Linked DNA regions of Saccharomyces cerevisiae S288C. The gene in region 2 interacts genetically with the main gene of each other region. Each region holds a gene or a part of one and is shown on either strand. Other genes may lie near its edges.

Region 1 (17,224 bases), on a different chromosome or scaffold from region 2:
TCATGTTGTGTCTATGGACCTTCATGCTTCTCAAATGCAGGGGTTTTTCACCAAACCAGTCGATAACCTATACGGGGGCCCTAGTTTAGCGAAATGGATTAGAGAAAATGTTGAAGACTATGAAGATGCAGTAGTTGTCTCTAAGAATCCAGGTGGTACTAAAAGAGTTACAGCCCTGGCGGATTCTTTGAAGATCAACTTTGCTATGATCCATACTGATCGTCGTCGTTCTAAGGATCTGTATTCTCAAAACAAGGATTTGCAACAACTAAAGTTGAGAAAGCAATCAATGTTGAGGAAAAATAGACCGATCATCAGACAAGGTGACCATCCAAATGAGGAGGAAAACATTATTTTAAGTAACGGTATTCAAACTGCTAGGATCCGTAACGGCCACGTTATCGGTGACGATGAGGCAGACGATGATGAAGACGCTATCTTAGAATCTGACAGCGAATTGCATTCTATTGATGGCTTAGACTCGCATGGCTTGGGCGGTACATATGATGCTGTCGACTCCGAAGACGAAGAGGAAATCCCAGTTCTCTATAGGGAACAACTGATTACATTGGTCGGAAACGTCCGTGGTCGCTCTGCCATCATTCTAGATGATATGATTGATAGACCTGGGTCATTTATTAGCGCTGCTGAACATTTGGTGCAAAATTGTGGTGCCAAAAAGGTTTATGTTGTTGCTACTCACGGTATATTCACTGGAGACTGTTTGGAAGAACTTGAAAAGTCCGATGCCATTGACACAATTGTGGTCACAAATACATATCCGATTTCTGGCGAACGCATAGCTGGGTCCAAGAAATTGGTTACTATCGATGTTTCTCCAATTTTCGCAGAATGTATCCGTCGTGATCATTATGGTGAGAGTATTTCCGTTTTATTTGACTCTTTGGCAGCTCTGTAAACAGAAGAGAGTGTGCGCAATATTTTAGTTCTTAAATATGACATAGATTATCAAAAAACTTTGTATGTTTGCCAGATTTCAGTGAATCTGCAAGAGTATAAATTATAGGAATTTGGGTGAATTAAACCATTTATTATGTTTTATGTATCATGGAAAAAACAGAACCTTTATCAAATCATCTATGAAATTTTGACAGGTTAGCCATTTTCCTCATTTTATTGCTCTGCAATAGTAAATTATATAGATTTATGCAATGCTCTAGGTTCCGGCGGCTTTTCATTTAATGTGAACTCAAGACTATTATCATCCAAACACATTACAACATCCGTACATTTAGTTGGCTCCATTTTTTGAAAAAATACTTCCGAGTAAGATGCTGAAAGTAATCAAATTCCGTGAAAAAGGAACCGATTTGGTAAGGGCGGACCTGCCGGAAGAAAATCGCTCCCGCGTGTCTACTGGACTTTGCTTCTTTGCCAGGCGGGAGAATGAAGCCCACCGGCCTAGCTCTATGGGCGCAGACAGGGATGGTCTCGATTTGCTTTCTCACTGCAATGGAAATTTCTAACATTAGAGCTTCAACGGCTAGCATAAAACAACTACTAACGTTTTCAGTGCTATATTCGAAAGAGCAAACAAAGAGTCCTCAAGAACTACTAATAGATTAAAATGGCTAGATACGGTGCTACTTCCACTAACCCTGCTAAATCCGCTTCTGCTCGTGGTTCCTACTTGCGTGTTTCTTTCAAGAACACCAGAGAAACTGCTCAAGCTATTAACGGTTGGGAATTGACCAAGGCTCAAAAATACTTGGAACAAGTTTTGGACCACCAAAGAGCTATTCCTTTCAGAAGATTTAACTCTTCCATCGGTAGAACTGCTCAAGGTAAGGAATTTGGTGTCACCAAGGCTAGATGGCCAGCTAAGTCTGTTAAGTTCGTTCAAGGTTTGTTGCAAAACGCCGCTGCCAACGCTGAAGTATGTCAAGAATATTATATGTTTAGTACCAGATGAAACAAGAATGAGTTGAAATTCAAAATGCGCGGAAAATCCATTATGATCAAGGGAAATTGAATATGATAAATGAATTATTCAGAAAGTCACAATTACCAGATTGGAATGAACTGTCAAGCTGAAAAGCAACTAAGGATTACCATTACGTGTTTATGATTTTGTTAGAAAAATATTGAAAACTTGATATTTCTTTCCGCTAGTTTCATCTTTTTCAATTACTTAACCGGATCAAAATTTTTTTTACTAACAACATAACTATTTTTATTACAGGCTAAAGGTTTGGATGCTACTAAATTGTACGTTTCTCATATCCAAGTTAACCAAGCTCCAAAGCAAAGAAGAAGAACTTACAGAGCTCACGGTAGAATCAACAAGTACGAATCTTCTCCATCCCACATTGAATTAGTTGTCACTGAAAAGGAAGAAGCTGTCGCCAAGGCTGCTGAAAAGAAGGTCGTTAGATTGACTTCTAGACAAAGAGGTAGAATCGCCGCCCAAAAGCGTATTGCTGCTTAAATAGAAGATGAAAAATAATGATAATATAATTCTCTGTTAATTTTAATCTTTTATCTATGTAATTTTATCTCCCCGTCATATCACATAACTCTAAAATAAGTTTTTTATTAATATTATTATATTATATCGGATAATCCTACGTTCAAAGTATTGAACATAGTTTTATAATGAACAAAGGTATAAGAAATGCTCATAAACTGAAAAAATCCCGTAGATAAGATAATAAGAAATGCTACTGTCTATATCAATATGTCAATCGTTACTCATTCCCTCTCTAGTACGGAACGTGTGCGTTCTTCATACCGAGCTATTAGAATTTAGTGAATAAAGGCATCTATCGATTTATGCCATGAACTGAACCAACGCCTGCAGCTACTTTTTCTGCTCCCCCAAGTCCTCCGTTGAGATTTGAAGAAGACTTTGCCGATTGTACTATACCAACCTCAGGTGTCATGTAGCCGCTAATATTAATCACATACATGCTCATCATGAATACGAGTCCGTGTAAACCGATACAGTAAAAGAGGAATACCATCCTTGTCATTTTATTTTGTAAAATGACTTTTGCAAAACTGGAAAATAACTTCTCTAAAGCTGATAATTTCTTGTTTTTGTAGTGGTTTAATTCGTTCTGTCTAAAATTTGCCATTGGATGCAACGATTCATCATACACCCTTGAGTATTGGGATTCCACGTCAATACGCTCTGTACTTTGATTAACGGGAGCGTTGTTATTATTATAGGATTGCAGATACCTAATCCGTTCATAAAGCTTCGTATTGTCGCCTTTTAGCTTCGAAATTTCTAGTTTAAGCTTACCCTTTTCTGAGTTTCCTTGTCTTAGTTGCTTTTCCAGATCCATATTTCTCGAACGAAATCTGTCTCTTTGTTTAGTAACTATTGGTAAAATGGTTGATTGGTTTCCAGAAAGTTCCCCATCTTCTGGAATACCAATAATAGAACTCGTTGGGGACATTTTATGGGACGTACGATTGTTCATTTGTCTTGTTACACCAGACATCATACTTGCAGTCTCGTTGAAGTGAGGACTGACGTTCTCTACTTTTTCTAGGTCCGTCTCTAATTTTTCATTTGCTTCTTTGAGAGTAGCTATTTGCTGCTTCAATTGGTCCACAGATTTTTTCAATTCGTTTCGTTCTTCCTCTTGAGCCGTACTTTTTGAGCGGTATTCCGCCAAAGTAGCCTGGAGCTTCTTATTTGCAGATAGTAAGGAACTTTCGAAAGTATTATCATTCTTGTCTTCAGAGCGAATGTCATTATCAGAATCATCTTCGTTTACCCCAAACTCAATTTTTTTCAATGCAGAAAGTTCTTCTTTTATCTTATTGTAATCAGAATAATTGTTTAGTTTTCTTCTAACAGTTTCTAGCTCCGACTTGTAAGATTCCGATTCCGCCACAACGCTATTTAATTGTTCTTTTAACTCATTTATTGCATGTGATGTTGATTTCCGTTCCTGCTCATAGGATGCACTCAACAATGCATTTTCGCTTTCCAGCTGGTTAAGTTTTAGTTCCTTTGCATGTAACTCAGTTTCTTTTTCTGCTTCACTAGTTGCCTTTGCAAGAGCACCACTTAGTTCCTCATTTCTTTTCTCTAACTGATATATTCTAGCCTGCGTAGTTTCCAACTCCTGTGTTACTAGATTATATTCAGCAATCCTTGTAGATACTTCTTTTTGATTGTTTTCTTGGTCACCATCTTCGTTTCCATTACCTTCTATATCTATATTTTTAGATATTTTGGCCTCTAGTGCCTTGTTTTGCTCCTGTACATTTGTTAATTGTTTCAATAGATCTGCTTCTCTCTCTTTCCAATTTCTTCCTTTTTCCTCCCAGGTAGAATTGATTTCTTGAGTTTTCGCAGTCAGTCTTTTTGCCAATGTTTTTGCAGAGCTTTGCTCTAGGTCCAGTAACCTTGATTTCAAAGTCTCATAATCTGCATATTTGGCTAGCTTATCTTCTAGGTAGCTTATTTTTTCCTTAAGTTCCTTCGAGTCATCAATTTTGCCCAATTTTTCCAACGAACTTTGTAGTAGCGGCTGTGGATCAGGAGCCTCTGAAAGCTTTTCGTATACGTCAAAAAGAACCTTTTCAGAGAATTTTGATCTCTGTGTCAAATTATCAATTTCACGTTGGTACTGCTTAATTATTTTATTCACATTGTTCAATTTTTCCTCAGGTTCGAGTTTTTTAAATTTTTTAGTCTCAGTGGCTAATGACTTTCTTGAATTCAAGGACAGGGTTTCTTTATCCTTAATCTCTATAACATCAGCATCCAATTCTCTTTGAAGATTCGTTAAATCTGCCTTGGCCCAAATATCCAATGCATGAGAATATACTGACGTATCCATTGTCAAATTATTTTTGACGAGCTAATATAACAGAGTGAAGAAATGAAGCAATTACGCACAATTTATTGTACTGTGTTCATTCAAAACTCTTAAACATATTATTTTGGCATTTTCATGAGCCCCAAGATAATATCATTTGTTACGTAACATTCTCTATGACAGTAATGGTTTTCTTGAATGACACAAGTAACCACTACAACTTGGTGTGCAGAATAGTGATAGAGCGAACTGAAATTGTGGGTACCTAAATATTCTTTGATTATGAGCGGAGATATGATGCTCTTTCATGTTTTCCTGGCCTGAATTTTGGTATGCTCCTAAAAAAATGGCCAATTAAGTGATCGTGCCAATTCTCTCGTTTATTAAAGACTGTTCTGCTAATCGACTTTTGGAGCAAAAGCTTACTTTTGTTTCGAGCTTAAAAAATTTTTCTTGTGTGGAACTTGTATCAATTTCTCCTTATATTTATATATAATACAGACGTTATTGCTTTTCTATAGAAAAAAATAGAAACCAAAGTAGCAAAAAAGCAGTAAATATTAAAGTAAAGTTTACACACAATTCGTCATTTTTACCGCTAAGCCACATATTAGCTGATGAGCTCATCGTTACATTATTTGAGCCACAATTCACTAAAAAGCAGTATTTCAATCCTAGTCCTGTAAAAATAAAATACTCCTAGTCCAGTAAATATAATGCGACACTCTTGTGTTAAGGGCCTGCAGTATTTTCTGAACTATGTTCGTTTGAGCTTGAATTCTCTTCTTTTGAAGCTGGAGAGTAGCAAAGACTTTCCCCTTCAAAATTGGAGCTTGCAGAATTATGAAGCTTTTCTGAATAATCGAGAGTAACTTTTGAGAATCCTCCAAGTGATATTTCGTCGTCAAAGCTCTGTCCTTGCGTGACGTAAGGGATGTGCCTACTTTCTTTTAGGTCTATTTCATCAAGAATATCATCTGTTTCTTTATCAGCAAACAAATATTTTTTGCTTTTATTTTGAGATTTTCTAGGATCATCTGGAATCCTATAGTCGACATAGAAATGCGCTTGTGATATTGGTGTACCTACACAGGGAGAATAGTTTTCTGTACACGTGGAGATATAGTTCTCAGAGTCTGTAGAAAATGGGTTACGGCTCTCTTTGCGTGAGGACAGCTTGTTTAGCAATATGCCTACTCGTTTTTCCTTATTCTTATCAATGAATCTTTTCCACATGTCAAGTACAAATCCTAGTTTGATGGAACGCAGGAATTTAGAGTACATATGCAAAGCATCAGAACCTAAGCCAAAGATTAGAAATACTAGGTAAGACATCAAAACATAAAGCCATATATTATAAATTGGTCTGCCAGGGTCAAATTTAATAATGGTATTCCAGATGGTGCTGGAATGGGTATTTTTAAAAGTATAGTGTCCTTCTACCTGCTGTAAATCTTGAACAAAGGTGTAAACAGAAAAAGGGAACATGACTAAAATAATAATGAAACAGAATATCAACAGCCTTGCGAACCTTGTCAGGTTTAAACCTGAATTGGTACAGTGTAAAATATCCCTAACGTCCTTGCGTTTTTTATAAAACACGAACAGTACTAAGGTGGCATAAACAGCGCCCACAAATGACCATATAAGCATCCACATGGTATACAAAACAGTGGTAATCCATGTCGGAGACAATAAGTTTTGGCAACCGTTGTAACGAGCGATACCATATCTAAATACTTGTAACAGATATGAAAATCCCATGACCATGACAGGTGTGAACAAGCTAATCACAAGGTCCTTGACGATTTTCGTCCATGATGAAAGATCCGGTAAAACACTATCTGCCTTCAAAATTGTATGCAAGTTGTAAATGATGTTGGTAACGGCACATGATATGCCAATATTCGCACCAACCTGCAACTTGATGACAATATCACACCAACCTTTACCATCCCATCTCGTGAGGAAATCGTCGTCACTCCATATTGCCGCATCTACAATACACGTTAAATTCATTGTAAGAAGCCATGTTATCAAAATGATTGCTGGAATATTCTTGGTATGTGAATGCCATGCTAAAGGGGGAGCTAATAGTATCACAGCTAGCAAACAAAGCCCTATTATTGCTGACTTGTATGACATGAAAATTTTGATAGTATTTTGCCTTTCCTACACAAATTTAATTGCCTCTAAAGTTAAAAAGCAATAAAATAGAATATGTGAATACTGCACAAAATGAATACTTGGGAATTCAGAAATTATTCTTACCTTAAGCATCCACTCATATACATATATATATATATATATGTCTTTTCAAAAGACTTCTGCCCAAATTGTGGAGAGAACTCTGCCTCTCCGTGATAACGGCCAAATGAAACGCATCCAATGATGCAATTATTGACAAAGTTTCAAAGTTTCCGCCATTATTCCTTCATTTACACATTGATAGTCGAGAAGTTTCCTAATTAGTGTCACAATGACAGAGAAAATTGTACCAGCGCTTCTAACGAAAATTAGCACCCATACCCAGAGTTCATAAATCTGGCAATGTGGTACAATAATATAGGATTGGTAACATTTCAATTGTAAAATGTTTAACGTTTAGAGAAAAGGGGAGCCAGAACGCTTCTGGTGGTGTAAATACGGAGAAGTCACCTTAAATAGTTTTGTTCTGATAATTGCATTTTTTTGGAAAGATTTGGCTGCTTAAAAGATTCAAGCAATCAAGAGAAACATTACAAGGCCTGCTTGGCCGGTCTACTAGGCTGAAATAATAAGTTTCTGATTATGGTTATCACGGTAAATGATTACGAAAGGGTAAAGCAACGAATGGTTGTTTTATGGTAAGAATACTTTGGCGAATCAACAAATTGAAGTTGCGCAATGTGCGATTCGCTTATGTATCAAAAAAAACTAAAAAATGAATAGAGAAAATCATATATATAAAAGAAAAAAATATCGTACACCTCTTAGGTAACTTGGAATATATTAAACATGTAAAGAAGGAGAAAACATTAACCTGCATTACAATAATGAACAAGAGATGAAAAAATCCGTAAAGCTTCTGAATCGCGAAGCTCACTATCTATTCCATTATCATCATATAACATCATTGCACTCTTTATACTATTTTCAACAAAATTAACGCAGTTTTCCAAACTAGTACTTAGCTTGCCAATCTTGCCACAGGAAAAGATTTTTCTGGTCTTCTGTTTCAACACGTACTTCCTTTTTCCGACAAAATTCTCATCATAGATATTCTGGTTGCTGTTATTGTTGTTATTGCCAGTAAACTCTCTTTTCAATGCGACATCCCTAATGTCCCTTGAACGTAACGATACTAATAGACTTCTTGTGTAATCCGCCTTTAACAGGTCAATCTTCATAGAATTTGTTATTCTGCTCTCTGATTCTTGACCAGCAGGACATGCTTGCAACTGGAAAAAATTGTTAAAATGGGTTAAATACATTGTATATTTCGGCAATAGTTCCAGAGGTTTATTCATCAAGCCATCATCAATATCAGAATCAGTAGTCAAAATATCCGCATAAGAAGAGTTACCTGGAAAAATTTCGTAAGTGGAATTAAGGTCAGCCAAAGAGGGCTGACATATTCTTTCAAAAGCCTCATCCAAAAGATCATCCTGAGAGATCCTTTGGCAATCTCTTTTCAACTCAACGTTCTTTAGTGGAAATTTATATGATATATTCTTAACCAATGGGGGTGCGTGAGACACATCTCCAACATTAGGAGAGCCAGGTGTGCCCATCCAAGGATACTCATCATATTCGCTGATAGACGGTGATTGTTGCGGAGTGGTTAGTGATAACCTGGAGGTTGCTTGCTGCAAAGAAGACGAACTTGAAGTCCTTTGCATATTTCCAGCAGTTGTTTGCAGCCTCTCCCACGACTCGTTGTGTTTTAAAGAAGGGCTTGGTTGAAAGAACTGAGAAATTGTTGGCCTTTTGTTGAACCAAGAACCGTACGAACCAGGTTGGCTTGAGATAGAAGACGATAGATAATGCAATGAACTACTCCCACTTTTGAAGGAAGATGGCTGAATAACTTCCGCTAAAGACTCACTAGAAGACACAGATACTGAAGTGTTCGAGTTCCTCCGATTGGGTATTTGCCATCCTTTCCTCAAAGAATGGAAATTGGGTGATCCAATGCTGTTAGAGCTCACATTACTGTTGTTGTAATTATGATTGCTATTATTTTCTGTGCGACTCAAAAGGTTGTCTGTTGAAGTCAGTGTGCTCAATTCCGTCTCAGGCTTATCGACAAAATTATTGTTAGACTTATTTCTTGATACAGCGGACGAATCCGATCTTATGTTTTCCCGCCGTATCGTTATTTGTCCCTTGTACTTTGGCTCCAATAAAGCCGATAAGATGAACAGTAACTTGTTAGCAACCACCATGTTTCCTGACAGGATTACGATCTTGGATGTCTTTAGTTCTCTTATAGTGTGCCTGTAATCAGATATAATCATTGCCATTAGGAGAGGAAGGAAGCCTAGTTTCGGTCCATCTTTGATTTCAATCCAATTAAATATACTTTTGAACCAAACGTGAACGAATTCTTTAAATGTCTCAGGGTAAAGGAAAAGCCTAGGAATCTCAGACATAGAACGTAAACCTGGTATGACTCTTTTTTGTAAAGTTTGCACCATTATTTCAATTTCCTTGGGATAATGCGTCCTGATGTCAATATTTGACAATTTTATGACTGAATTATTGCTGTAATTGCCAGTATTTTCTTGCATAATACGGTTTTTAGTCAAGAAACCAATGAGCATTTTTTGAGTCTGGGTCAACCATGATGAAATGGAAGACCACGACTCTGCAACTACGGGCAACAATATCCTCGGTATGCATAAGCTAATTGCGATGCGGTTGTATTGGTGTGTGTAATAGAAAATTCTAGTTATGAGTACCAAATCCGAGTTAGGAATCGTCCTTATCTTGTCGCACTGCGTCAAATCGGAAGATCTTACGGGAGAACCAAATATATATTCCTTCAATTCACTCGGCCGTATCTGCTCCATCGAATTTGAAATCTTTGACGTAGTGTAATCGAAGATATCACGGTAGTTGTTCCTACACGCCATTTGACCCGCTTCCTCAATGATCAAAATCCTGAATGCATACGTTTTTTCGTTAATAGACGTGATTTTATCAGTACCAAGACCTCCGTTGTTTTGTAACGTATCGATAGGACGACTATAAGGAATATCCCTCGAGCCGAAAAGCTTCAGTTTTAAGTCATCCGATATATGATCTAAAATGGGCGGAGAAGTCGTTGATAGCATTTCCGAAGGCTTTTCCACATTGACTGCAGTATCTAAAAGAGCTCCAGCAGCGGTCTTAGTAGTTCCTGTGCTTGCCGCTTTGCAGTATACAGGGACATTGGGAACTACGGAGGAAAAATCGGAATGCTCTGAGCTCTTCTCAAAACCAGACGAACTCGTCTTATTTCTCAGTAAATTACCCAACATATAAACTCTCCCTCTTCACCTTCTCTACAAGGCCACACACAAGACAGTTTTAACAGGCAAATGGTACTGGAGGCTCTCACCAATGGGGTTTAAGACGCTCCAAACACACGCTCTCCTTTTTTTCTTTATATATCGGTAGCAACGAAAGCTAGTCGCAGAACGTTACACACTAAAGCAGATCAATCAATCAATCCTGAGAACCTGCTTCGTTCAAACCATCCACTAGAAGAAACACGCACGTGTACCCAAAAATAGAGACAAACAAACAGACAAAAATAACAATGATTCCTACCGACTAAAGTAAAACAACACTCACGTAATAAAAAATCCTAGATACAACTCACTTGTATTCCTCTCTTCTTTGACCATCACTAAAGCTTCTCTCTTACTATATTCCTCAAATAAAAAAAAGTTGCAATGATTACTTACCAATGTGCCATAAACTCCGTGCACCACACTAGCCTTCGATTTGACACATCTCTAAGCTGAAACTGAGAATACTGTTGTAAAACAGGTATTGGCTGCTTCATAGTACACCCAATTGCCCACAACCCAAGTTAATCATAAGCTCTTGTTGTCGATGAATTGCTCAAAATGTGGCCATTCTTTCAATTTTGCACCTCTAAAACTGCTCCGTGGGTTGTGACAACAACCTTAAGGGTAATGGACTTTTTTAGAAAGACAAATGAGATGATTTCACCTACTGGTATATCATTTATTTATACACGACCGTTTTGACATTTCAGAGTTGCACGTTGGTATATCCTAATATTCTCACAAGCATCACAGTGAAGAAACGCAAGAAAATGGAAAAAATTCCCAGGTGGTTGTTGTTTTCTCTTATATCGTCGGTGCTGTGCATACTTGGGGCCCTGTGTGTGCCGTTGTTATCGGTTGCCTTCGATAGCAAGCGCAATAGCCAATCTAAGTTGGTCAACTATGGTCTTTCTCTAAGTGCCGGATCTATGATCACTACTTCACTATACATGCTATTGCCTCGGATCGAAAAATCAAACCGGTTCAAGGTTTTTCCTGGATTGCTTTTGGGTATTTGCCTCAGTTTTTTCTTAAACTACCTAGTCCACGCTTTCGCCAGCGAATCGTTGGTACACTGTGCTGATAGCGGTGACCATGCTACAGGTTCACATATACACTCCAAATCACATTCGCATTCGCACTCACACTCACATGCGGATTCGCATTCGAATTTTAGCAACGATCATGATTTAGAAAATGCTCCCTCTGAGCATGGTTATGCAACATCTTCTTCCAGTGTTTCTGAAAATGACCCGTTGATTACAAAGGATAGCGATAGACCCCAAATGAAAAAGAAAATGTCCCTAATTGACTTATTAACCAGAAGGAAATCAGAAGGCGAGTGTTGTGACCTAAACAAGTGCACTCCGCTCTTGCAATCAGAGCAGCCAGAATATATTGCATGTGTCCCACCAGTGATAAAGTCTTCTCAAAGTGAAAGAAACGTGCCACATGGATGCGAGGGATCAGAAGATAATGGACAATCCGATGACAAGGATCATCGTGGCCTTGTATGCGTGGAAAATAATATCGGTTACGATCTTGAAAACCTATCGTTGTACCGTAAGAATTTTCTTTCGAGCCGCCATCATCATTCCTCTGAATCGCCCGAAAATTATGGTTCCAACCAGTTGTCGCACTCTTTTTCGTCACCTTTGGGAAATGATGTAACTGAGAATCCGGCCGCATTGGCAGACACACAATACCATCCCGAAAATGGTTCATTATACCCCCACCATCATCACTTAGAGACCCCTTTTTCCAAATTACTGTCTATTGGTATGCAAACTTGTCTAGTCCTTGCATTACACAAATTTCCCGAAGGGTTTATTATTTTTTACACTAACAGGTCAGATTCGTCAAAGTCCTTGGGATTTTCCATTTTTTTAAGTTTGACGATCCATAATTTTGTCGAAGGATTTGCAATGACGTTACCATTCTACACTGTTTTCGAATCTAAATGGGTTGCCATTTTGATTACTGCCGTTCTCGGTGGTGGATCTCAACCATTAGGTGCATTGATAGGTTATTTCATCTTTAAAGGTAGTACTCCAAGGGATCACGAACCCAACATGGATTTTTTACTGAGCGTTACTGCAGGGTTCCTATTAGTAATTGGTTTACAAATGTTCCAAACTGGTATCGGATTTAGCGATGGACATCATCATCATCAAGGAGAAGGTGATGAAGAAATGAAACAGTCCCATAGCTCAGGCACAACTTGCTTGAAATGGTGCTGCACTGGCGTTTTGCTAATTCTAGCGAGTGCCCTTTTCACTTGATAAATTAAAACTACGTATATTCTTTCTATATAAGTCTTTTCCCATTAAATAACGGTGTATAATCACGATCATATATCATATATCATATCTACGATCATCGGCAAGATCAAATTCTTGTTCTGCTGTATGGTGCTCATCACCATAATCGGTTATCACGTTTTCCTCATTTTCCTCAAAGGGATTTTCTGTACTACTTTTAGGATGCACCTTGATGAAACCTTCTTCAGAATTATTTTCTACAGACTCTTTCACTGTGGTTCCCGAGTTTAGAGTATGTTCAACATTGCTATCCTCTAGTTCAAAAACAGTTTCTTCCGCATCACTGGGAATTGGAGCCTTGATGTCATCTGCCAAGGGTAATCTAAAATTATACTTCCCCCATTTGAAATAAAGACCAGTGATAACTAAAATGCAGAATACGTACACCATTAAAGCATAATTCATTGTTTTGAAAGTTACAGGCACTTGCGTTGGTAGGCAAACAGAAACCATAGATAACAAGAGCCACACAATAGAAACAATGTTGATGAACCAACCAAACTTATACCTGATTTTTACTGGCGCGCTTCGGATAGCTCTTCTTCTCGTAAACAGCACCAAGACTAACGGAATGAAAGTCGCAGAACAAAGACAGAGCACTGCAGCGCCTATAAAAGCATTAAATGCGGCCGTTGAAATCAAAGCTAGCAGACCTAAAAAGTATGATATTATCATACTCAATACAACAGAATTCTTGGGGACTTTTGACTGAGAATCCGGTTCGACGTAGGTCCATTTATCGTAGTATGGTATAGCCTGGTCACGACTAAAACTATATACCGCACGAGAAGATGTAGTAATCGAGCCAATTCCGGAAAACAGTAAGTTTCCTAAAATTAGGAGCACTAAAAAAAAAGACAAGACCACCGAATCAGTCGATTTTGTAAAAATGTTCACTATTGGTAGAACCTTATGATTGGTAAAAAGCAAATCATTATCTGGCAGGATTAACATTATTGGTATAAGAAAAATGACTCCAGAGAACGCGGATAACAATACCGCATTCGACATACCACGTGGAATATCCTTCTCAGGAACTTTGACTTCGTCAGCTAAAGCAGGTAACATACTGAAACCTTGTAACGTGAAATTAGACTGTTGGAATCCAATGATGAAGGAAAGAAATGCGCTTTTATACCCTGATAGATTATTATCAAAGTGAAATAGCGCGTACTTCAAAGATCGAAATTTACCTTTGTGGAATACTAGTAGAAGAATATCAATAAATATAATGGCATATATGATCCAATAAACACAGACTTTGTTTATTGTTTCAATAAATCTTGCAAATTTCAAATTCACGAGGCCTACAACAGTCACAACTAAGTAAAATACAATGACTGTGTAAAAAATCAAGTGTGCCTCGGATATTAGGTTGGAGTTCGTCATCAGAATCAAAGAAATGGTAAGTTGAGCGCCTGCAAAAGTAATACTGGTACTCATAGTCCAATTCCCTATGAGCATTAACCAGCCAGTGTACCACGAACATACTAATTTCAATTTCTCCGGGGCCAACATGGCACTCCCAACATGCAGTTCCATCGGAAATTTTGAAACAATCTCACCAAGAGAAAGCGACGAAAACCATATACACACTCCACTGATTAAAAAACCTAGCATTATAGTTAACGGACCACCATTAATTAGCCCAATGGCCATACTAGTGCACATTCCTAAAACGGGACTCATTAGTCCTAAACCGAGACCGACAATAGAACCTCTTGACAATAACGATTTATCCAACACCTGATCATAATTGAAATGCTCGGCCTCCTCGTTCTCTTGACTGTCATCTTCATGAACAATGGTGTGCAAGTTATCAAACAAACCATTCGGATCGAAATGAACGATATTCTCCCTTATATTATCAGCCAGTAGCGTATACTCTGGCATTTTTCATTTATTTGACTTATTTTTATTTATTTTATTGTACAATGGCAAACAAATACACGGACTGGTATGTTCTTCGTCAAATTGATGATCTGTTCTTTTGGCTTATCCTTATGGGATGATTAATGATTGTTAAAGCCTCATTGCGGAAATTTTAATGCCGGAAAGGCCTGAAAAATTTCAAAGTGGCAGAAAACAAGGCTTTGGGGCATTACTTGCCAACGGCTGACGATTGCTAGCTGCTTTTACAGAAGCGATACACAATAGCTCCTAACATAGCAAAATGGAAGGTGACGATTTATTCGATGAGTTTGGAAATTTGATCGGAGTTGATCCTTTTGACTCGGATGAAGAAGAAAGTGTGCTGGATGAGCAAGAACAATATCAAACCAATACGTTTGAGGGGAGCGGCAACAACAATGAGATTGAGAGCAGACAACTTACCTCGTTAGGAAGTAAAAAGGAACTTGGAATTTCCTTAGAGCACCCTTATGGTAAGGAAGTGGAAGTATTAATGGAAACTAAGAACACACAGTCACCACAGACTCCACTGGTAGAGCCGGTTACAGAACGAACAAAGTTGCAAGAGCATACAATTTTTACACAATTAAAAAAAAACATTCCGAAGACTAGATATAATCGAGACTATATGTTATCAATGGCTAACATTCCGGAGAGGATAATAAATGTTGGTGTCATTGGACCTCTTCACTCAGGTAAGACCTCTTTGATGGATCTCCTAGTAATCGACTCACACAAACGCATACCAGATATGTCTAAGAATGTAGAACTTGGATGGAAACCGCTAAGATACCTGGATAATTTGAAACAAGAGATTGACCGGGGTCTTTCCATTAAACTTAATGGTTCCACTCTACTCTGCACCGATTTAGAATCCAAGTCTAGAATGATAAACTTTTTGGATGCACCAGGGCATGTTAATTTTATGGATGAAACGGCAGTCGCACTTGCAGCAAGTGATTTGGTTTTAATCGTGATAGATGTTGTAGAAGGTGTTACATTTGTGGTAGAGCAATTGATAAAACAAAGTATTAAAAATAATGTAGCAATGTGTTTTGTTATAAATAAACTCGACAGATTGATTCTAGATTTAAAGTTGCCACCAATGGACGCATACTTGAAGTTAAATCATATAATTGCAAATATCAATTCCTTTACGAAGGGAAACGTGTTTTCACCAATAGACAATAACATAATATTTGCGTCTACAAAGCTGGGCTTCACATTCACTATCAAGGAATTTGTTTCTTATTATTACGCCCACTCCATACCTTCTTCTAAGATAGACGACTTTACCACAAGGCTATGGGGTAGCGTATATTACCATAAAGGTAATTTCAGGACAAAACCATTTGAAAATGTAGAGAAGTACCCGACTTTCGTTGAATTTATCCTCATCCCGCTTTATAAAATATTTTCCTACGCTTTATCTATGGAGAAAGATAAATTAAAGAATTTGTTAAGGTCTAACTTTAGAGTTAATTTAAGTCAAGAGGCCCTCCAGTACGATCCGCAACCTTTTTTAAAACACGTTCTACAGTTAATATTTAGGCAACAAACCGGTCTTGTAGATGCGATAACCAGATGTTATCAACCATTTGAATTATTCGACAATAAGACAGCTCATCTTTCAATTCCAGGAAAATCTACACCAGAAGGCACTCTTTGGGCTCATGTACTGAAAACTGTGGATTACGGTGGAGCAGAGTGGTCCCTTGTACGGATATACTCTGGACTTTTGAAGAGAGGGGATACAGTACGTATACTTGATACATCACAATCTGAATCTCGCCAAAAAAGACAGTTGCATGATATCTCAAAGACGGAAACCTCCAACGAAGATGAAGATGAAGATGACGAAACGCCTTCATGTGAGGTCGAAGAAATTGGCTTATTAGGTGGCAGATATGTCTATCCGGTTCATGAAGCACACAAAGGACAGATAGTATTAATAAAAGGTATTTCAAGTGCATATATTAAATCCGCGACGTTGTACTCTGTAAAGAGTAAGGAGGACATGAAACAGCTAAAATTTTTCAAACCTTTAGATTATATTACCGAGGCAGTTTTCAAAATTGTTCTTCAACCTTTACTGCCAAGGGAATTACCCAAGTTATTGGATGCCCTGAACAAAATTTCGAAATACTACCCAGGCGTTATTATTAAAGTTGAGGAATCTGGAGAACATGTAATACTAGGAAATGGAGAGCTGTATATGGACTGTTTGTTGTATGATCTAAGAGCGAGTTATGCAAAGATAGAAATTAAAATATCTGATCCTTTAACTGTTTTTTCTGAAAGTTGCTCAAATGAATCGTTCGCTTCAATACCTGTAAGTAATTCGATATCTCGCCTTGGTGAGGAAAATTTACCAGGTCTGTCGATTAGTGTAGCCGCTGAACCAATGGACTCTAAAATGATTCAGGATTTGAGCAGGAACACATTGGGAAAGGGTCAAAACTGCTTGGATATTGACGGAATAATGGACAACCCAAGGAAACTATCCAAAATATTGAGAACCGAGTATGGGTGGGATTCGTTGGCATCAAGAAACGTTTGGTCTTTTTATAATGGCAACGTGTTGATTAATGACACTTTGCCAGATGAAATCAGTCCTGAATTATTATCCAAATATAAGGAACAAATAATA
Region 2 (10,004 bases):
TCGCAGGTGACAAATTTAATAGTTGTGGTAGCATTGCCAAATGTTCTTCAAATATTGAACGCGATGACAGGCGAGTTAATAAAGACAGTGTTGAAAACCGAGAAGTTTCCCGAATTTTTGAAGGTATCGCAGGATAAAATCATTATGGGAAGCGGTAACGTTTTGAATTATTTAAAGTTTGTTTCAAGTGATTCAAAGAAACATCACCATTCCACTAAAGGTAAAAACACAGTAAGCAATAAGTGGAATGAAACTTTGAACACGGAGCTGCAATATTATGATGAAGATGAAGACCTTAGAAGAAAAAGACAGTCAGAAATATCAAGATTGATCGATGCGTATGGTGGAGACCTTGAACTTTCAGGCGACACCGATGAAGAAAACGACATTCAGTTGAGAATTGCACTCTTAGAATCACAGGAGGCGCAAGCACGGAATCAAGCTGAAGCGGGGGAGCCTGTCGGAGATGATGAAGATGAGCAGTTAAGAAGGGCGCTGGAGGAATCTCAACTGATATATGAGACGCAAACGAATAGCTCTGCGAATCATGGTAATAATACGAATGATGAGATAGATGAAGATGATGAAGAGTTTCTCAGAGCCATCAGACAATCAAGAGTGGAGGACGAAAGGAGAAGACATCTTAGAAATCATACTACAGGTCGACGAAATGGGCCCTTGAGCGACGATAATTTTGCTACATATGGTGCAGCAGAGTCATCCGAACGAACCTCAACTGAGAACACTATCGGTAGTTCTGTTGGCGTTGATGCTAGTAATAATGTTGATGAAGACTTACAATTGGCCATTGCGTTGTCATTGAGTGAAATCAATTGAAAGTATGTACATTTGGAAGAGCATATGTTAAATATTTTATTTATAGATTTTTCGTTGTGAAATATTATTTTTTTTTTTTTGAAAAAAATGTCGGACTTTATTCCTCCTAATTATTAATAAAATACGAATATATATCTAAATATAATTAATGCTTATTTACATGAAAAATCATCAATCGTAAACAGTTGATTAAAAAACAAAAACTTTATCGGTTCCATTACCTTTGTGAAACCCATTACTCCACCCCAACTCCTTTGCATAATTCAAAACCATTTCATTCATTTTAGGTGGTCCGCAAATCAATAAACGATGGTCCTCCGCTTGTTTAGGTAGGTATCTTTTCATTTCCTCTAGAGTTACGTACCCAACATCACCGTTCCATTTACCGTTTGGCTTATGAATTACATAATGAACTTTAAAATGCGGGTACTCCTTAGCCATGTGGTCTAGTTGCGATTTCATGAGAATGTCATCCTCTGTTTCGTTTGCGTATATCAAAGAAATGTGTGTTAGGTCTTCTGGAGAGGGTATGATTTCTTGCAGCACTTGCAATACAGGGGTTATACCAGACCCCCCTGCGATTATACCCAACTCTGTTGCGGTGTCCTGATCATATTCCAGCTCACCTAACGGCCCTTTAAATTCAACATACTGGCGAATTTTTAATTTATCAAAATACTTAGAAACGACACCATGTTTATACGTCTTGACTACTAATTCCAAGTGACCCTCCGTATTAGGAACATTTACTGGCGTATAGTACCTCACTAATCGCTCACCATTTATTGTAACCCTTACTGCCAGGTGGTATCCCATGGGAATATGCAATCTTTCAAATGGGTACTTTAACTTGAAGCAGTACAGACTAGTATTACGAGAAATGCGGGTCTTCTTGGATAGCGGTAGCGCGACCCATTTATTTCTGTAAAGAGATTTATCAGTTCCAATCGAAATAAACGCTGTGGCATAAAGTACTACGAATTGCAGCAATGAAACGACCACGATTCTACCATTTTGCGTTTTCCAAAAGTAAAGAGGTGTAACCACACAATTCAGAAGCAATCCAGTACAAAATGGATAAAACGGATTTGTCGAAACAAAAGATATGCATGTCTCTACTATCGACATTGTTGCGAATGGTTGCTTTTTACAAAGAAAAAATGTGATATGAGTTAATACTAAACATACTTAAATCCTAGAGAGAAAAAAAGTACTGCAATATATACAGCACTCAAAATACATTTCTATCTGATTTCTAAAAACTTCCCTGTAGATGGATCTACGTTACGCCATGCCGATGTTTCGTTTTTGCTTATACGACCAATCATTACCGCGTTCGGCTTTTCCAAAAAAAAAAAACTATAGTAAGGATAATGAAAAGAAAAAAGGGTCCCATGATTACTAAAAAGCTCTAATTCAAAAAAAAAGTCTTTGATAGGCAGCTAGGAATAGTTATTAGAATGTACATGAACAGTCATCACACTGCTATATATATATATATATATATTCTTTTTTAGTAAAATATAGAGATTATTGAGACAAAAAGAGACTAGTCGGACAACTCACTAGGATCTATAATACCATTTATGATAGCCCACTGTTTGTTTGCCAAGAATACATTATCGGGATCTTGCTCCTTTCTTATTTTCCGGAACTTTTTCAAATCCTCGCCATACCATTCTTCAACCTTCAATGCCATCCCCCTCATTTCAAAGTCATCGTAATCAGTATCCTTTTTCACTGGTCCAGCAGCTAGAGTGGTTGAGCCTAGGAAGTTCTTGGCCCAATGTGGCTTACCTCCCGCTACCATCATAGTATTTTCAAAAAGGGTAAACCATTTATGAATTGGAGTATTACAGCCAAACGGCCTATAAATGGTAGCATTTATGTACAACGTCAACTGACTGTTGGTAACATTTTCCAACGGAGCAAATCTGCAATGGGATGGTGTGTTATCCAGGAATGGGCGGCACACATTGCCATAAACGGGACCGGGACTGGTGTTTGTTCTCTTGCTAGTATCCAAGGGTTCAGAAGGTAATGTAGTATTTGAGCAACGGACTTCCATAGGCACGTGGACATAAAATTCTTTGTTTATGGCAGCCTGCGCAATAGAATGATCCAATGAACGTAAGACTTCCAAACCATTATCCATAGGGCACCCCCATTCATCAACAAATTGTGAAAACAAACAGTCCATATTAAATCCGCTGATAGAATCGGTAACATTAACATCACCAGTAGAGCTCTTCTCCAATTTCCCGTATTGCCTGTTGAAAACGAACTTTTCCACAAATGGGGTTAATGGCGCATAGATTTTGGTAGAGATCCATAATAGAGTTTCGTAGAAAAATCTACCCAGCTTGGTACCCCACCATGACTTGGCTGGACCATTTTGGGCATCTGTAGTTTTGTTACCCCTCCATAGAACACATTTTCTAGTATAAGGGTACCACCAAACTCTGATAAATTCAGATGAAGTCCATAGGGTATCCCATTGCTTCAAAAGGTTTTCAAAAGTAATCACTTCTTGAGTGGATTTAATATTGAAGCCGGGAACAACCCTGATAGTAGCAGAGACAATGATACCAATTTTTCCAACTGAAAGTAAAGCAGCTTTAAAGACTTCTGGATCGTTTTCAGCATCCAAGAACTTCAATTCGCCCTTACCATTAACAATAGTCAAGTTTACGTATTGAGAAGAAATCAAACCGTGATAAGGTGAGGAACCATGACTACCAGTAGAGATTATGCCAGCAACACTTTGTTCTGAGATAGAGCCTAAATTTTGGATAGAGTAACCTTTCGCACCCAAAAATTCATTCAATTGGTAAAGCCTCATACCGGCATCAACTGTGACATCGGCATAATGTAACTCAGGATATTCAACAAACTTTTGTACTTTGTCCAATCTGTCTAAGTTAACAAGCCATTCATCAGTAACGCACATGTTACTAGGAGAATGGCCCGAACCAACAGTAACTAAGCTTTTTTCAGCTAGCCTGGCACTCTTTACTAACTCGACAACCTCATCAATTGAACTTGGTTGGAAGTAACGTTCTGGTTTTGCAGAATAAATTCCGGCCCAGTTTTTGAACACATAGTTCTTTCTAAATGGGATAGTAGACATGGGGTGAAAAACCTGATAATATCGGTAACTTTAATTTTACGGGTTCTTGTTTTACCTTCTAATGAATTTTAAGTTTTGAAAAGCAGAAAATCAGATATTGAAACTATAGATCTGCTTACCTTGAAGTTCACTATTTTTGGAATTCTCCTTGCTAATAGTTACTTCTACTCTTGCTTTGTCCTGGATATCAATGGAAGATGTCCTCATTTCCATTTTTTTTTTCAATTCGACGGCAAGGCGGGAGAAAAGGAACTAGGGATACAAAAATGCAATTACTAATGAAATCCGTGAAATAATCATGGAAATGGGTGATGTAAGAATCTGATGAAACAAGTACAAATGTCTTTGGCCCATCAACTACGATGAGACTTACTAAGCTTTCATCAAATGCAGGTTAGAGAAGGAGAATGGTTTTTTTTTTTATTTTTTGTACATAGATATTAGAGAAATATAATAAGTAGATTATAGATAAGATATCACCAAAGAGATATAACAGTAGGGGGAATTTTTTTTTTTACAATATACTTGAAATATAGAAAGGATAAGGAGGTTGGGGGCGAGAGTGAACCTTAAAATTCCTCTTCCTCAGCGTATGAGTCGGCACCCACTTCGATGTAATCTCTTTCTAAAGCAGCCAAATCTTCTCTAGCTTCGGTGAATTCACCTTCTTCCATACCTTCACCGACATACCAGTGGACGAAAGCACGTTTGGCATACATTAAATCGAATTTTCTATCGATTCTCTTCCAAGCCTCAGCAATGGATGTGGTATTTGACAACATACAGACGGCCCTATCCACAGTGGCCAATTGTGAGTTTGGTGTGGCAGTTGGAGGTTCGTAGCAAATACCGATCTTGAAACCAGTTGGACACCAATCAACCAATTGGACGGTCTTCTTGTTTTTCACCTGCTCGACAGCTCTTTGAACATCTCTTGTTACCACATCACCCCTGTATAACAGACAAGTAGCCATGTATTTACCATCTCTTGGATCACACTTGACCATCTGGTTACCAGGTTCAAAACAAGCGTTTGTAATTTCTGACACAGAGTTGGACTCATGGAATGCCTTTGATTTGGATAAGACTGGAGAATATGAAACTAAGGGGAAATGAATTCTTGGATATGGAACCAAATTGGTTTGAAATTCGTTCAAATCTACATTTAATGAACCGTCGAATCTCAATGATGCTGTAACAGATGATACCACTTGAGCAATTAGGTTGTTTAAGTTTGCAAAGCTTGGTCTTGGGATATCCAAGTTTCTTTTGCACATGTCGTAAATAGCCTCATTATCGACCATGAAAGTACAATCTGCATGTTCCAATGTAGTATGTGTAGTTAAAACTGTGTTGTAAGGCTCAACCACAGAAGTAGACACTTGTGGAGCAGGGTATACGGCAAATTCCAGCTTGGATTTCTTACCGTATTCAGCGGATAGTTCTTCCAACAGTAAGGACCCTAGACCGGAACCAGTACCACCACCAAGAGAATGGGTAAACAAGAACCCTTGTAACCCATCACATTGGTCTGCCAGTTTTCTAATCCTATCCAGAACATCGCCCAAAATTTCTCTACCAACGGTGTAATGGCCTCTTGCATAATTATTAGCCGCGTCCTCCTTACCACTGATCAACTGTTCTGGATGGAACAAGTCCTTGTAAGGACCGTTACGGACTTCGTCAATAACGTTGGGCTCTAAATCCACGTAAATAGCCCTTGGAACGAACTTACCGTAGCCGGTTTCATGGAAAAACGTGGAGAAACCCTCTTCTCCTCCCTTCGGCTTTGAAAGGCCATCTTCTAGATGTCCATCCGGCTTAATACCGTGCTCAAGGGAATATAATTCCCAACAGGCATTACCAATCTGACAACCAGCTTGACCGACTGTAAAGAGAAATCAAAAAAAAAAAAATTTTGCGTTGAAGTTAGTAATGAAAGATGAAACGCCAAAATGAACTAACAAAAAAAAGATCTAGCCTGGACGGGCAAATCGAACATACCATTAATACTAATAACTTCTCTCATTGTTTGTTTGCAGTTGTAAGTTTACAGATCTTGGGTGGCGAGAACTGTTGTAGACGGATATACTGAATTGGGTAAAACGATATAGTAGATGTTTTTGTTTTGTTTTGTTTTGTTTTGTAGTTTAGTTTTTCCCTTGGCTCGAGGCGTTTTCGCGTGGCATAACCCGGCCGGAAACTACGGTGATATTATCGTCTGGCACATATATATATATATATATGTAAACTATACTTATATTAATAGTTTCCGATCGTCTTATTACTCACTTACTATCAATGGAAGCACTATTTCATTACTTAAAAAATACTTTCTATTGCAGGATCTGAAACAGTCAGTTATAATGGAAAAAGTATGCAATTGTGTTTTCTTAAAGAAGGATACAGATATTTATATATGTTAGTTCCTCTGGAATATATCGCTAGATGCATTAAACATGAAGAAATTTGCCGTATGAATTATTCCTGTATGTACACCAAATGTGTCATGATCTTCTTGTTTCTTCAATGTGGCGCTGGCATTCGAGAGTGATGATGCTTGGTGTGAGCACTTGAAATGTCTCCTCTTTAAGAAAGACAATCCTATCCTTTCATGATCAAGGGCTTCTAAGGCGTCTCTCAATGCCAATTTCAAATCGGTAGGGTCTGACACGGTCTGGTAGCATTTATTAATGCAGTGGGTAAGGAAGAGGGAGGGCTTGATAATGTGGTTGGCTGAAATCGGATGGCAGTGCCCGCCATTGATAGACTCAAATTTTACTGTCTTCGTACAGTGGTTGAAGGTCAGTATGAGTTTTGACTCGCAGATCAAATGTATTTTGTACTTTTCAGGAGTCCTTGTTCTTTGTATACGCTTATTGCTGAGTTGCTCGTGAACATTCATCTCACAAACGAGTTCGTACTTGTTCTTATTGATTTTCTTTGTCCTGTAGATGAAACTAATGAATGAATATACTCTAACGAACTGCTCAAACGACAGGGTACATAGGAACTCGAAGGAGGATTTTGGATGCTTGAAAATAAAGTCCCTGAAGTTTAGAATGTTGTTGATATTTTCGATCTCGTCCTTGTTTACTGGATGGTGATATTCCTGTGCGCATGCAATTAGTTGTTTACCAGACCTAACTTTGCTCAATTGTGCCTTTGTTTTTGCACAACCAATGTAGTTTGGAATCTTCCTAATTAATTCCTCGGTACTATCTCGCTCAACATCACGGCCGCCGCCATTCCCGATCACAATTTTGGGCAGGATAGGATGTGAAACTCTGTCCTCTACTGTGCTGGGCACAGGCGACGGTGGTAGTTTCAAATCTGGCAGCTTTATGGCGACCGGGGCCAAAGGGGGTGAGGGAGCCGTTGCTTCAAACTGAGGTCTTGGGGAGGTCATAGGTGTGATAATAGGCATCATTGCGGCATGATTTCGTACAGCGACAGGGATAGTGACAACCTGTTGTGACCAATGGACGGGCGTATTTGTGCTCATAGAAGGCAATATGGGTGTTGGCAAGCACCTGGGGCTGGAGTACCCAAATGTCAGCGAATGTTGTTGATCTAACGCCAATATGATTGGGGGCAGAACGGGCGATAGGCACTGCCTGCCTGGAGGTGTTCTGGGAACGTGCGCCTGGTTGTTGTTATATACATGTAAATAGTCCATTGAGTCTTTACCAGGTTCTATCTTAACTAAAGAACTACTTCTACACAAGACTTAAGGCACCTTCATACGAAAACCCTCTCCACGATGGCGTTCAATCTTTCGTCTTTATATACATATGTTACTTTATATATTTATATATTTACGTATACACCCGAATGTATTTATATATTTGTATGCATATGCCCACACGTATATGCTCAAGAGTAAATTCTCCGACCCGTTTAAAAGCAAGCACACGTCAAGGTTTGCTGTCTCCACTCGATTCGTACCGTTCCTGCGGTACTCCTAGGCAAGCAGTTAGGCCCTGCCATTCACCCACTCAACAGTTTTAACAGTATACGACTGCAAGGCCATCGTTTACCGGCAGGGTCTATTGTTCTGCGCGTTCCTTATTAGGCACCGCCAAAAAAACCCTTGAAATTTTCGTTTAGGTGCCGGCTCGTTAAGGGCCCTTTTGCTCTCGCATAACGCAGGCACAGGTCACGAACTGCGGTGCGGATACCCTCGATTTAAAGACAGGCAGCAGGTGAAGATAATACCATGCTCAACATGGACGCCAAGGATAGACGTGTAAGTTTAAGTTTCTCTCGTTGTATCGACTGACCTCTTTAATAGCAGTCCTTACCAAGTTGAAAAACCACATCTTCGTGTTACCCGACTACCTGTGCGATGCCGTCTGGAAAATTCGCAATGAAAATTTGATGAAAAAATTGCCTCTCAATAGTGAAAGAAGTATAGCAGGGCCACGCAGAGAGTAAGGGCTATAGGCGAAGTTTTCCTGACATTTTCTTCTTCTATAGGACATTATAATATGGTTTCAGCGCAAGTGGCTACCGAGCTAGGACAGCCTATACCACTGGACACTCAACATGCGGTATCTGTATGTTTCCCGACATGGAAATCTGTAATTTCGTATGTGGAGAAAGACCCCAAAGTTTTAGGGTGTTTAAAGTCTGGCTACCCCAGGTTTTGGATCCACCCCTCGATTCAAAAGCTGCGTGATATTTTAATAGAAAAGTATGCTAAAGAAAACGAAACGTGCTTTTGCTTCCCCTCTTATAGAGTTGCCAAACGGTGCAGAGAGTATGTAAGAAGGAAGTGCGCGCATCGCAATGGCAAAGTAAGGATATTACAGTTAGCCACGGCGAAACCTATCAACGAGGAGCAGAAGACGTGGAAAAGAGAGTGTAAGATTGCGGTAGTGTTTGTAGATGGGGCATACGAGAATATATTAAAACAGTATTGGCAATACACCGGAGAGATCATCTCAAGCAGACTAGCTGAATATGTTTTGCATGAACTTTTCATGGTAGAAAAGAAATCCAGCCCTGCAGAGGAAAAGGAATACATAGAGATGCGGTATGGCAGGAATCTGAATTTTGCATTTGCCGATCGAGCCAAGGAATTGATTAAGAAGAGGATCGCTACAAAGGTTATAGATAAAGATGAGCACGATGAGGAGGAAAACTACCATTTCTTAGCAGGTAACCAAGATGAACAGGACTTCCAGGACACGTTTCTGGATTCATCCCTCAATGAGGCTAACCACGGAGAAGATCATGACGGCGGGATTAGCGGTGAAGTAGACAGTCAAGAAGAACCGCATAATGGCCTTGTTTCCACTATACCCCCGGAGCCCATCGAAATGAGCACGATAGAGGAAGAGCAATCCGTAGAGGAAGATGCCGGGAGGTGTGCATTAAGGGTTTGCCCTGAGAGAGACGTTTTTTTGTTTCCGAGCGGCATGGCGTCGATATTCACTGCGCATAGATTGCTGTTGCAATGGGACTCACTGCGTTTGAATAGATCCAGAAATGGAAGCGACGTCACCTCGTCACCTCCGAATAAGAAGACCGTGATTTTTGGGTTCCCTTATGCGGATACATTACATGTCTTGCAAGAGTTTAATGAAACGTATTTCTTGGGAGAAGGAGATGAGTCTTCAATGAAAGAACTAACAAAAATTTTACATTCCGGGGAGCAAATTCTTGCCGTTTTTATAGAGACCCCATCAAACCCACTATTAAAAATGGGAAATTTACTGGAACTGAAAAGGCTTTCGGAATTATTTGGGTTTTTCATTATCATTGATGAAACTGTGGGTGGAATAGTTAATATTGACGGTCTACCGTTTGCTGATATCGTTTGCAGTTCATTGACGAAGACATTTAGTGGGGACTCTAACGTCATTGGTGGTTCAATGGTTTTAAATCCACAAAGCCGGGTATACGAGTTTGCCTCCCGTTTTATGCAATTAGAAGACGAATATGAAGATTTATTATGGTGCGAAGACGCAATTTACCTGGAAAGAAATTCCAGAGATTTCATTGCTAGAACCATCAGGATCAACTACAGCAC

The links.
Region 1: mutations in AIM33 (region 2) and LST4 together harm fitness more than expected from each alone (negative genetic interaction), as found in Saccharomyces cerevisiae (2 studies listed by BioGRID).

What each region holds. Positions count from the first base shown.
Region 1 is NC_001143.9:107,681-124,904, forward strand, and holds LST4 (Lst4p), read right to left. Parts: upstream 10,307-17,224; coding exon 7,820-10,306; downstream 1-7,819. Other genes in the region: ribose phosphate diphosphokinase subunit PRS1, read left to right, coding at 1-919; 60S ribosomal protein uL22 RPL17A, read left to right, coding at 1,589-1,897, 2,204-2,449; CCAAT displacement transcription factor COY1, read right to left, coding at 2,784-4,823; STE3 (Ste3p), read right to left, coding at 5,535-6,947; Zn(2+) transporter ZRT3, read left to right, coding at 11,113-12,624; TPO5 (Tpo5p), read right to left, coding at 12,700-14,556; U5 snRNP GTPase SNU114, read left to right, coding at 14,837-17,224. UniProt on the Saccharomyces cerevisiae protein: Involved in extracellular amino acid uptake. Required for the trafficking of the GAP1 nitrogen-regulated general amino acid permease from the Golgi to the plasma membrane.
Region 2 is NC_001145.3:93,405-103,408, forward strand, and holds AIM33 (cytochrome-b5 reductase), read right to left. Parts: upstream 1,966-10,004; coding exon 1,027-1,965; downstream 1-1,026. Other genes in the region: SCF ubiquitin ligase complex subunit UFO1, read left to right, coding at 1-837; ALO1 (D-arabinono-1,4-lactone oxidase), read right to left, coding at 2,387-3,967; alpha-tubulin TUB1, read right to left, coding at 4,537-5,855, 5,972-5,996; YML083C (uncharacterized protein), read right to left, coding at 6,390-7,646; YML082W (putative cystathionine gamma-synthase), read left to right, coding at 8,458-10,004.